Neodiprion lecontei: one gene and its partner. The protein of the gene in region 2 purifies or fractionates together with the protein of the main gene of each other region. This does not show direct contact. Links are inferred from orthologs where the notes say so. Each region holds a gene or a part of one and is shown on either strand. Other genes may lie near its edges. The genes, in order: signal recognition particle 9 kDa protein and signal recognition particle 54 kDa protein.

Region 1 (3,919 bases), on a different chromosome or scaffold from region 2:
GACCCCCCGAAATCCAGACGGGGGCCTCGTCGGCTGGCGAATCCGCGGACGGAGGCGACATCCGGTCCATCGGGTGGGCCGGGGAACCGGTTCACAGACTGAGGTCCCGGTTCTGCTCCAGGCCTCCACCTCGCCTCGTCGCTTGGCAGTGGGGGAGCTCGCACATCAGGGCTGGTGAGTGATGTTCGATTGCGGTGGTGGAGAGTAGGGATGGAAGGAGAGTTCTAAGTGCAGATCCCGATACACAAAGACACGACACTTTTTTCCGGTGATCGGTACAGTCAATCGAAATGAGGAAAACCCCCATACGAAGAAAAGGGTTTGTGTCTGAACTGTGAAGCGGGTAAAAGGTCACCATTCGGATCTGTACCCAGAAATCTCCTGGTACTACTACTACGGAGAGTTGCATGTAGCAATTTAATATCCGAGCGATTGAATTTCCAGGAGAAAGCATTCCGCCGAAGTACGAAGCGCTTCCGTTGGAACCGATTATCGAGAACAAGATGGTGACGAATTGCTACTGGGCGAAGCTCGAGATAAAGGATTTGCAGAAGGAGGACGCGCGGGTTTACACGTTGCTGGTGGAGAGCGAGAAGGGCAGGGATTCGACGAATGTTCTTTTGCTGGTGCGGGACCCGATGGGGACGCGATTGATCGCGGCAGCCGCGGCTGTCGGGACTTTGTTTCTCCTCGGGCTATTCGCGATCTGTCTTTACGCCGCGTTCAGGTCTAAACGAACCGATTTGTACAGCCAGGAAGTTGAGGAGGGAAGCATTGCGGCGGACGCTTTTTACAGCCCCACGTCTACCGTCGACAGGCAGAGAATCGCCGATCAGTCTCAGATCCAAGCTAGCCAGGACCAGACCAAACCTCTGGCTAACAATAAAGAGACGTTGCACGAAAGCCCACTCGCTGTTCTTTACGGATACGATCACATTTCGAAACAGGCGGCTATGACTAGGTCGCCGATGAGCCCAGAAGCGCTGAAAGTTAGGAGAGCCCCCGTCGTTCTGCAGGCTCCAACGATAGTTTAGCGAACGTTAACGTTATTTCGTATGTTGAACGAAACACGTATTGATACAAATTTTTACCGAAAAGCTGCTTTCACGCACTATACTTGCTATAATACGCGTGGGATATTGTATTATTGATTATATAAAGATTATTCTTCTACGTAGAAAACACATTGTCCGTTTTTCTTCAACGATCAAATATTTTTTACAGAGTCTGAAACCTTAATTGTTATCTGTACAATAATCACTAATAATTTAATTACCGTTCGCTTCTAAACCATAATTGTTTGACATAATGTGACACCTATAAGCTTTTATTACCATTAATTTTCATACTAATTATATTTAATTATTTATTGTTTTCATTGTTGTATTTTATAGGAATAAAAAATAAATATGATTAAAGAAAAAACAATAATAAAAGTTGATAATTAAAGTCAAAATATCGTTTACAAACAAGTAACGTATCCCCCGAAAGTAACATCACAATGCAATATGGCGAATGGCAGATAACTAACTTGTTTTGATAGCGACGAAAATTGTACTGTGAAAATGCAATATTCCAATTGTTAATAAGCACCGCGTGATATTTTTAATCGATAAATACCACAGAGGATAATCGAGGTTCAGAACCTGATGTTATATCGGAATGACGAATGAAATTTAAGAAATGCGAATGGCAAGACTCGTCTACGAGTCTCGTAGTCTATGACCGATCGACTCCTCGTTTACGACGCGTGGAGACAGGTGGCCCAGAGATCCATGACAAACCGTCTCTGTCATTTGTAGGTTGGTTGAACGAGTATGAATGTTTATTTAAACGTGTGACTAACGGTAGAAGAACAGTTGATTAACGTGAAAGCAAACGAAAGCGCGTCCATTTCGCGGAGGTTCAATAATAATAATGACGTACCTTAAGTCATGGGAAGAATTCGAGAAGGTAGCTGAGAGGTTATATCTCCAAGATCCACTGAAGGTTTGCCATTTCACTTTTATTCTCTTCCACTTTGACAGTAGTTTATTCACCCTATAGATGAATAAGATTTTATTAAAAGTTGACTTGGTGCAAAATTTCTGTCAATTGCCAAACTGTTCAAATCATAACCTATATGTTGATCGTGGCGGTACAGTTAACACCAGCTGTGTACAATGACGCCGATGATAAATTTACATGAATACATAAGTAGGAAGAGTCGATCATTTGTAAAGATACTAATATTCCAAGTATTGTCAAATGATTTGTATGTCACCCTTGTTAACCTTTGTCTAACTTACTTGTTATTTCGTTTGTTCCAGGCTCGGTACACAATGAAATACTGCCATAACAAAGGTACTTTATCCCTCAAGCTCACAGACAATCGTACGGTAAGTAAAGCGTAAAGCACAAGTTAAAATGCTGTAATATTGTTGCAATCGCGGCTAAATCGTTCATCGTTTCACTTGCAGTGTTTGCAGTACAAAACAGAGATCGCGCAAGATCTGAAAAAGATGGAAAAATTCATAGGCAACCTGATGCGACACATGGCGTCCAAGGACAACTAATATTTATTACTATAGGAATATATTGTTTAAATAATAACGATGAAAAAGGATGAAACGAAAAAGAAAAACAAGGTATTCACAAGGATTCTAAAGTCCGTTTCTTTGACGATACATATATGTATATAGTATATTCATATAGATTTTTTTCATTTCTGTCTTTCATTCCATTGAGATAAAAAAAAAAAAAACAGTTTCTCTTTCGTTCTTTAATATACAATATGTGCATTGAAATTATTCTTCATTTGAACTTAAAGCTCGGTGCTTATTTCGGCCTGCTTCTGTGGCGGCGAGTCAGAGTTCTGTAACAACAGATAAATGTTCAATTATTACTTGTTCTTCATTTCGGCGATGGATGGATTAATCATCTTTCATAATTGCAATAGATACTTACAAATCCACATGCAAGAAATAGATTATGTGTATTTGGAAAATGAAAAGAAATCACCCGCCATGACTCAATTCACTCGTAACCTGTGCCACTCTTGTTTAATACCGAAGAAAACCATGTGAAAATAAAGTGGCAGAGGACGATTTGCAGAAGGAAATAAATTTTTTGAAAACAAAAAAGTGAAAACAATATTGAAAAAATAAGATCGTTGTTATACTTGGCTGCTTCTTACAGTCACAATGGCATAAAGAAAGAAGCATCTGCGCGGGGGGGGCGAAGAAACTTACGATATAATGGGCTGAAGAACTGCATCCAAAGTTGCGTCAGCGGGAGGGTAGATTTCTTGATTTGAAGACAGATCATAGCGTCCCTCTCCCCCCAATTTCTTTTGTTGCTATACCAAAGAAAACTATTTTTTACTAAACTACCACACAGCAGATCAATAAATACAATAGTCTACCACAGTTTCGTTCATCAGCATTTCATTAGAAATTTCGTTTAAACCATCATGATAACAATTAACTGCTGAAACACTACCAGGATATTTCCATAATTCAACTGAGAATATTCACTGCAAATTATACTTCTAATAAAATGCTCAGATTTGACACACACAAATACGTAGATCACCTTTGCCGTATTAGTTCAATCGTAAGCATTACGCAAAATAGAACTTTATCGAAACTCATCAAAAATAAAATGGTTTGGTCAAGTTTCAAAACGCAGTTCTTACAAGTGCAAAAATACGGTAACTGCGAGTAATATTGAAAGCAATAAGCAAAATCCGCGGAAAGCCAAGTTTTGCAAACAGTTTTGAAGTTTAAAAGTAAGGTAATTGTTATATTCAACTGTAGCCTATCTTGGGGGTATGATTGAAGATCTGTAAGTCTATCACACATTGTAAAATTGTCGCGACAAGTTTTCATATCTGCAATAGTTTATAATAAGGTAGTTTATCTACTTCATTGTGCAAAGG
Region 2 (6,860 bases):
ACCAGTTTCTTTCTTACCATTCTTTTTCTGATTATCGTTACTTTTTACTTTTCTTTTTTCTTACCGTAAGCTCGATACTTGCCGGTGGCGATCATTCTCACATCACGTGTATATCGACAATCGATTCTATCGTTTGAAAACCTTTTTTTCAAACAGCAATCATTGCGGCGGATGTGATGAGGTTTTATGCAATTGATAATTAATGATAAACTCAGTACGAAGCAGGCAATGTTGTAGAAAAAATTAAGTCATAATCGATAATAAAAGAAATATCTCGTCCTACAAATTTATTATATAGTCATGTCTCTGTATGTACAATTCACTATTGGCATAAAAATTTATTTCTCGTGATCAAATTCCGTGCCACGAAAAAGAACTTCTTATTTTATATATTTATTGGTACAGAACGTAATTTATCATGCATTGTTGGGGGTTAGTCAGATCTAAAATTAGAAAGTTTTGGGCTTGTGCTGCGATGAAAATTTATGAAACTGAGTGTGAAGGACAGGATTCATTGTTCAATAAGGAATGCAAGTCGGAAAAATGTTATACAATAATTTATTTACAAAAACATCGTATTTTCATAGTACGAGGTCAAATGCATACCGTATCTACCATGTTAATAAATCTCGTAATCGTTATTGTAATCTTCTCTACTCTCACCTACCTTATTTTCACATACAAATCTCAAATATTGTATGCCGTAGTTACGGTAAAAAATTAATCTTTCGTTACAGAATCAGTCCTAGTTCTGAATGTACGGCAGTTGTAGCACATGAAACTTATTTATTTTCGTATTAAGACTTGAAAGCTTTGAATAGGAAATTTCACTTGGTATTTCGAGTTCATACATATTTGTTACAAATCTGCTTTTTAGCATGAACGTGAAGCATGGAGAAAGAACTAGTGCACCTGTCAAATACGGAGTTCATCAAGAAAGCAGTAAATATGCTGGAATATGCATGAAATAAATAGCTAATTTCTCCAAAAGATAAAAAAATGTACAGCACGCCTGCCTTTCTGATTCCTCGGTGCTTACACCGTGAAAACTGAATTAAATGTTCAACTTTTGGACAGAAGCCCAGTATTATAAATACAGTAAAAAAATAAAGATTCTCTGAACAACTTAAGAGAAAATAAAACTGTAAATATATTTTTAGAAATTCCAAAATCTGACAAATAAGGTGAGGGAGGGAACAGAGACAGAATTCTCCGCAATAATAAAAAGTGATACTTAATTTCGTTGATGTCTCCTAGTGTGCTGTGGGTGGGAGCGATAATCGCGCGACTCATTAGTGTCGCCCGATTCTTCGTCTCAGGATTTACCTCCAAAACCACCCATCAAGTTGCCTAGTCCGCCAGCAGCACCTTGCTGAAGTTGTCTCATCATGTTTTGCAGCCCTGACATTCCACCTACACAACAGATTTTATATATTTGTGACGATAAATTACAGTTGAAAGCTGTGGTAAGAGGTCGAGGCTACCTTAAAGATACACAAATCATAATTCGTTACACCGGTAAATTTCTACCCACCCATTTGTTGTAAGACTCGTGGATCCATCATTTTTGCCATTTGCTGATTGAGCTTTGCCATTTGAGTAGGATTCACATTCTTAGTCATGTCACCGCCCTTGAACAGACCTTTTATACCACCCATTTTCTTCACCACTGCGGCAAACTTCGTGTACTGTCCTATTAAATCTTTTACTTCCTTTTCAGTTACACCTGATCCTTGGGCTACCCTCACAACTCTTCCTGGTTGTTTGCTAAATAACTTGGCCCCGTCTCTGTTGTCTAGCTCTACAAAAGTCGATTGAATTCTACATATTCATATTATTTCAAGTGGCGAATAGAACATCAATCTAAAGAAGCAGGATTTAGTTATGAATAATATCTGTAATGTTTTACACGTACCACCGTCATTCATACTATCCATGATTGTCATAAGGCGCTTCAATCTAGCCATGGATTCTTGTTCTGTACCTTTCGACATGAAGTCTTGGCTGAAGCCAGGAATCATTCCCTGTTAGCCAATGGCACAAAATATGAATATCGTTTAAAATATATATGCTTAATAATCTGTCCAAACTAATTACATCCTGAAACTTATTTGGTAACAACTGATACCAAATAGTTTTTTGCTATCTATACCAGGAGTCACATATAATTACCATGATTTGAGAGAAGGGCCCCATTTTCATGATGTTTTGGAACTGTTCGTACATATCCCTCATAGTGAATTGGCCGTGTTTTATTTTTTCAAGTAGTTCTTCGTTATCATCCAAATTGAGCTCGTTAACTTTATCAATCAACCCTTCAATATCTCCCATTCCCAAAAGCTTGCTAATGAAGGGTTTTGTTTTGAAAGGCTCAAGGTCATCTATGTGCTCACCGGTACCCACAAATATGACGGGACTTTGAGTAGCAGCAACACTAATAAAGAATATAAATATAAGCAAGTGAATCGTATAATATCAAATCGTTTACTGAAGTATATCAGCTCAAAATTGGCTCCAATGAATACTTACGCTGAAAGTGCACCACCACCTTTGGCATGGCCATCCAATTTAGTAATGATAACAGAACCAACGTTCACACGGTCCTTGAAAGCCTTTGCTTGACTCTCACAAGCCTGACCTATTGTTGCATCCATCACGAATATTATATTGTCTGGTTTCTGAAATAAATTGATGTTGAATCGAAATGGATCATGTGATCAATCTGTTCACGAAATCGGTAATGCAAAGTTATTTGCAATTTTAGTGCAACAAAATGAACTTCTTCTATAGTTTTGGGTTGAAATTGAGTGAACGTCAAATTATTGCGAAGGTTTCTAATCGACTATGATAAAATAGCATAAAGCAATCACAATCTGAATAATTCTGAAGAATTGAGTTCCGCTGACAACTCATTCAAACCTACCACTGCATTTGACACTTGCAACATCTCTTCAAATAGCGATTCCTCTTGCTTGTGTCTACCGCTTGTATCCACTATAATTATTTCGTATCCCTCCTTTTTAAACATCTCCACACCATCTGCTGCTATGACTGCAGGATCTATCTCTGTATAACTGTGATGACAGCAATGTAAATACATACCCGAACCAATAATGCGAGCGCAATGAAGCTTAACATCACAGACGTTCATATTTCGTAATGTGTTTTTAAAAGCTATGCTTGCTTAATACTTACTAGAGCTGAATCTATTACTATAAAGATTAATTCAAAACTGCACTCAAAAATTTAGATGGAATTTTTCCAAACTAATTTTCTACTCTGAAAGTAGTGCAATATTTTCAATGAAAATTATTAATTGAAAACCAGTCAGAAAAAAACATTTTCCATTACAGTCGAGTAACTATTCTATGAGTAACTAAATTTCAAGTTTGCACATAAATTATGATATACAATTAGATGTTTATATTCATCATCTCAATTACTATAACCAACACAATATTTCAGCTTTAAGATTCCTTAACTTGTTTCAAAATAAGTTACCTTCCATAAAATGGTATCCTAGCTTTTGTTGCGTTCTGTTTGATTTGATCATATGCACCAGCACGGAAAGTGTCAGCACAAACTAAGCAGGATTTCCAATTCTTTTTTAGATAATGGTAGGCAAGTTTTGTACACGTCGTCGTTTTACCCGAACCCTGTAAACCTACGAACATTATCACATTAGGCCGTCCTTTTACAGGCTGATAAGCTTTCACGCCTGGATCCACTAGCTGCAATAATAAAATGACTATCAAAATCACGGCGGTAATAGAATTAATCGTGATAAAAAAAACGTACTTTAACAAGCTCTTTAAAGACAGCGCTTTGGATCATCCTCCGCTTATTGAGACCGCCGGCCATGTCATCAAAGTCAATGACCGCACGAACATTCTCACGCAATTTCTTCACTAATCTAATGTTGACATCAGCTTCAAGTAACGCCGCACATATTTCTTTTAGCATAGAATTCAGCACCTGTAAAAACGGGTTTACACCATTTTTTCCGAAGTTTCTTTGATATGAATATAAAAATAAAAAAATTTCCGAATTTGCTAATAACTGATACAAAAATTAATATTTATTTCTTCATTAACAATATCAAATTTGAAACAAGGTCAATGTTTCTCAACCACATTCTCACCATCGAACCAAAAATTGATGTGGAACTGAAATTGACTTAATTTACTGAAATTACAGTGATATCAAAATCGACGACAATCAATAATTTAAATTCTGCAATAGAATACTATTGACATTGAAATTCGATTGATCGAAGATGAATTTCAACGAAAAAAAAATCACGTAATTGCGTGCAATTGTGTGTTGAAAAGTCAGGTTAGGTTAGGTTGGTTATTGATAGAAAAATGTACGTATTTTAATAAGAACAGGAATTGCGATGTTCTGCAATGATCTTGATACAAATTAATCATAACAATCACACGAGGTGGGAATAGTTATAAACAGTATTTGCTTTTAATATGCGACGGGTTTTTAAATGCCTTTCCATCTGTTTACATCGTTTTCCTCACCTCTTCGTTAATGACGGTGGCATTGCTGAGCGACCGCAGGGCGGACGTTATTTTACGCCCCAAGTCTGCTAACACCATCCTGCCGTCTTAATTCACACAATTAATGCAAAATTCAATTATCTTAATATTTGTATTATTTTGTACAAACACTGATATGCCAAATTCGTCTTGCCAGGCCAACACGGCATGGCGTTATTTCCGGTGTGGTTGTGAGTTTGTTCTTGGCCACCAGGCGGCCGCCTACCAAAAGTATATTTCATACTTTTCATCACTTTTCATACCGCGATTCTCGAATCTCGATAAAATAAATAGTGTGGTGTAGAAAAATGGCTGCTTCTGTGTTAGGGCAGACGCTTTTTTCGAAAAGTATGTTTTTTAGAAATTGATCAGTTAAATTTTGTTTTAGAGCGTACGTGTCTCACGCTTTTTTTTGCAGTGCTAAATATGGGTTGCCGCTTCCGGACGTCAAGGGTGTTTTCACAGAAATTGAGGAATTTAGCAACTCAATCACAACCTCAAATTGTTTCAAAAGAAGGTGGGGATGTCTTTAAACAAATACTTTGATTATCAATTAAACCTGCCATGTCCAGCGGCTTAGCACTTTTTTGCACCGATTTGCCTGAAACTTTTCAAGTTTAGTTGGCTCGAATTCCTTCCCTCCCGTCGTAAATGGCTATTTCTCAGTCATTGTATAGGTTAAGAAAACAGGTTGGGATTCTGCTTACAGTGAGATTTCCAAGTTTTCTAAACCCGTCAACTCCATGAATAGCCATAACACTTGGCACACAGATCTACGTTCTTCGATAACGGTCTTTTTTTCTTCTAGGAACTGACGTCCCGTCAATAGATCCACTACAACATCCAGATTTCTTTGGAGTTCATAAACTTTTTACAGTTCAAGACTTATTCAAAGCAAGAGTGCACTATGGTCATAAACTTGGCTCTTTAGACGATCATATGCGTCCTTACCTGTTCGGATCTCGCTTGGACCATTTGATATTTGATCTCGATATAACAGCTGACCATCTACGACGAGCCCTCAATTTCACTGCCCACATAGCATTTAACGGTGGTATAATTGTTTTTTTTTGTAGAAATACGCAAAACGCGCATCTCGTTGATAAAACTGCTAAAGAATGCGGGGAATATTCTCACACAAGATTTTGGAGGGGTGGAATATTTACCAACGCTGATAAACAGTTTGGCGACGCGACACGTCTACCCGATTTATGCATATTCCTAAATACTTTGAATAACGTATTAAATCAACATACCGCTGTTCGAGATGCGGCTAAAATGTGCATCCCTACTGTAGGCATTGTCGATACAAATTGTAATCCAAACCTCATCACTTACCCTGTTCCTGGAAATGATGATACACCTGTGGCGATTGAACTCTATTGTAGACTATTCAAAACTGCGATATTACGTGGTAAAGAAGCAAGAAAAAAAATAAACAATCAACTGAAAAATTGAACGAAGGTTAACTTTACCAAATTATATATTTAAGATTACCACAGTATAATGTACAAAATTTAATAAACATCTCATAGTAACAACAATATTGGATAGATGTGGTAAATAAAATGTCTGTTTAAAAACCATCTTTCTTCTCCCCATTCAATATAATAACTTATAATGACTACTACCATAAAAGATTTCAGTAGCACTGAATGGGAAAGGGAACTTATCTTCTGGTATAAAAGCAAAGGTGCAAAAATTGGAGATATTCGCAAAAGTCAAAAAGGATCCATAACTGATGGACTCTAATGGTACTTGACTGTATTATGGTAGAATTAAAATTAGTCCTCGAAAAATAGATATTATCTTCACTCTGTTTTTAGTACTTGCTTAGAGTCTCGCATGTCAAGAAACTTCTTCGATGATATAAACTTGGGTAACCTAAATAAAAAAACGAAACAGTAATACTACTGATTACTACACATTACTATAGCAAAATATGGTGTGGTAATTAATCAATAATTTAAAATATACTTACAAGTTCAATATATTGGGATAGTAGGCGCAAATATGTACCAATAACATTACTTTAGGGTAAGCAGCCCAAGCTTCATAAATTTCATTAGCCAATGCCACTGCAAATAAATTGGCACAACGTTCTGAACTCATTTTTGCATCAGATACGGCTGTTTCTTCTCCTAGTTTCTGTAAAATTTAATTTAGATAAACCCGAATTTTCGGTCATTTCCTGTTGTCGATACTACACAATCCTACTAATAGATTTTAAACCATAACAGATGGATTGTAATGACTTTTGGAAACACGTCGTCCATACTTCTCCACTTTTTCCAGTAAAAGACTCTGCTAAGA

The links.
Region 1: the proteins of signal recognition particle 54 kDa protein (region 2) and signal recognition particle 9 kDa protein purify together in Homo sapiens (co-immunoprecipitation; 4 studies listed by BioGRID and IntAct, counting the BioPlex papers as one, with this or other methods). This does not show direct contact. The link is inferred for Neodiprion lecontei from reciprocal best matches to the Homo sapiens genes SRP54 and SRP9.

Annotation. Positions count from the first base shown.
Region 1 is NC_060266.1:26,102,970-26,106,888, forward strand, and holds signal recognition particle 9 kDa protein, read left to right. Parts: upstream 1-1,730; 5' UTR 1,731-1,917; coding exon 1,918-1,989; intron 1,990-2,309; coding exon 2,310-2,378; intron 2,379-2,459; coding exon 2,460-2,555; 3' UTR 2,556-2,817; coding exon of another isoform or gene 2,818-2,854; 3' UTR 2,855-3,122; downstream 3,123-3,919. Other genes in the region: irregular chiasm C-roughest protein-like, read left to right, coding at 1-174, 445-1,034; band 4.1-like protein 4, read right to left, coding at 2,818-2,854, 3,231-3,337. UniProt on the Homo sapiens protein: Component of the signal recognition particle (SRP) complex, a ribonucleoprotein complex that mediates the cotranslational targeting of secretory and membrane proteins to the endoplasmic reticulum (ER).
Region 2 is NC_060263.1:31,043,061-31,049,920, forward strand, and holds signal recognition particle 54 kDa protein, read right to left. Parts: upstream 4,730-6,860; 5' UTR 4,608-4,729; coding exon 4,530-4,607; intron 3,976-4,529; coding exon 3,799-3,975; intron 3,732-3,798; coding exon 3,502-3,731; intron 3,075-3,501; coding exon 2,924-3,074; intron 2,679-2,923; coding exon 2,530-2,678; intron 2,435-2,529; coding exon 2,173-2,434; intron 2,025-2,172; coding exon 1,916-2,024; intron 1,802-1,915; coding exon 1,535-1,801; intron 1,414-1,534; coding exon 1,316-1,413; 3' UTR 541-1,315; downstream 1-540. Other genes in the region: 28S ribosomal protein S2, mitochondrial, read left to right, coding at 4,856-4,889, 4,954-5,064, 5,356-6,005; dehydrogenase/reductase SDR family member 7, read right to left, coding at 6,359-6,431, 6,529-6,695, 6,826-6,860. UniProt on the Homo sapiens protein: Component of the signal recognition particle (SRP) complex, a ribonucleoprotein complex that mediates the cotranslational targeting of secretory and membrane proteins to the endoplasmic reticulum (ER).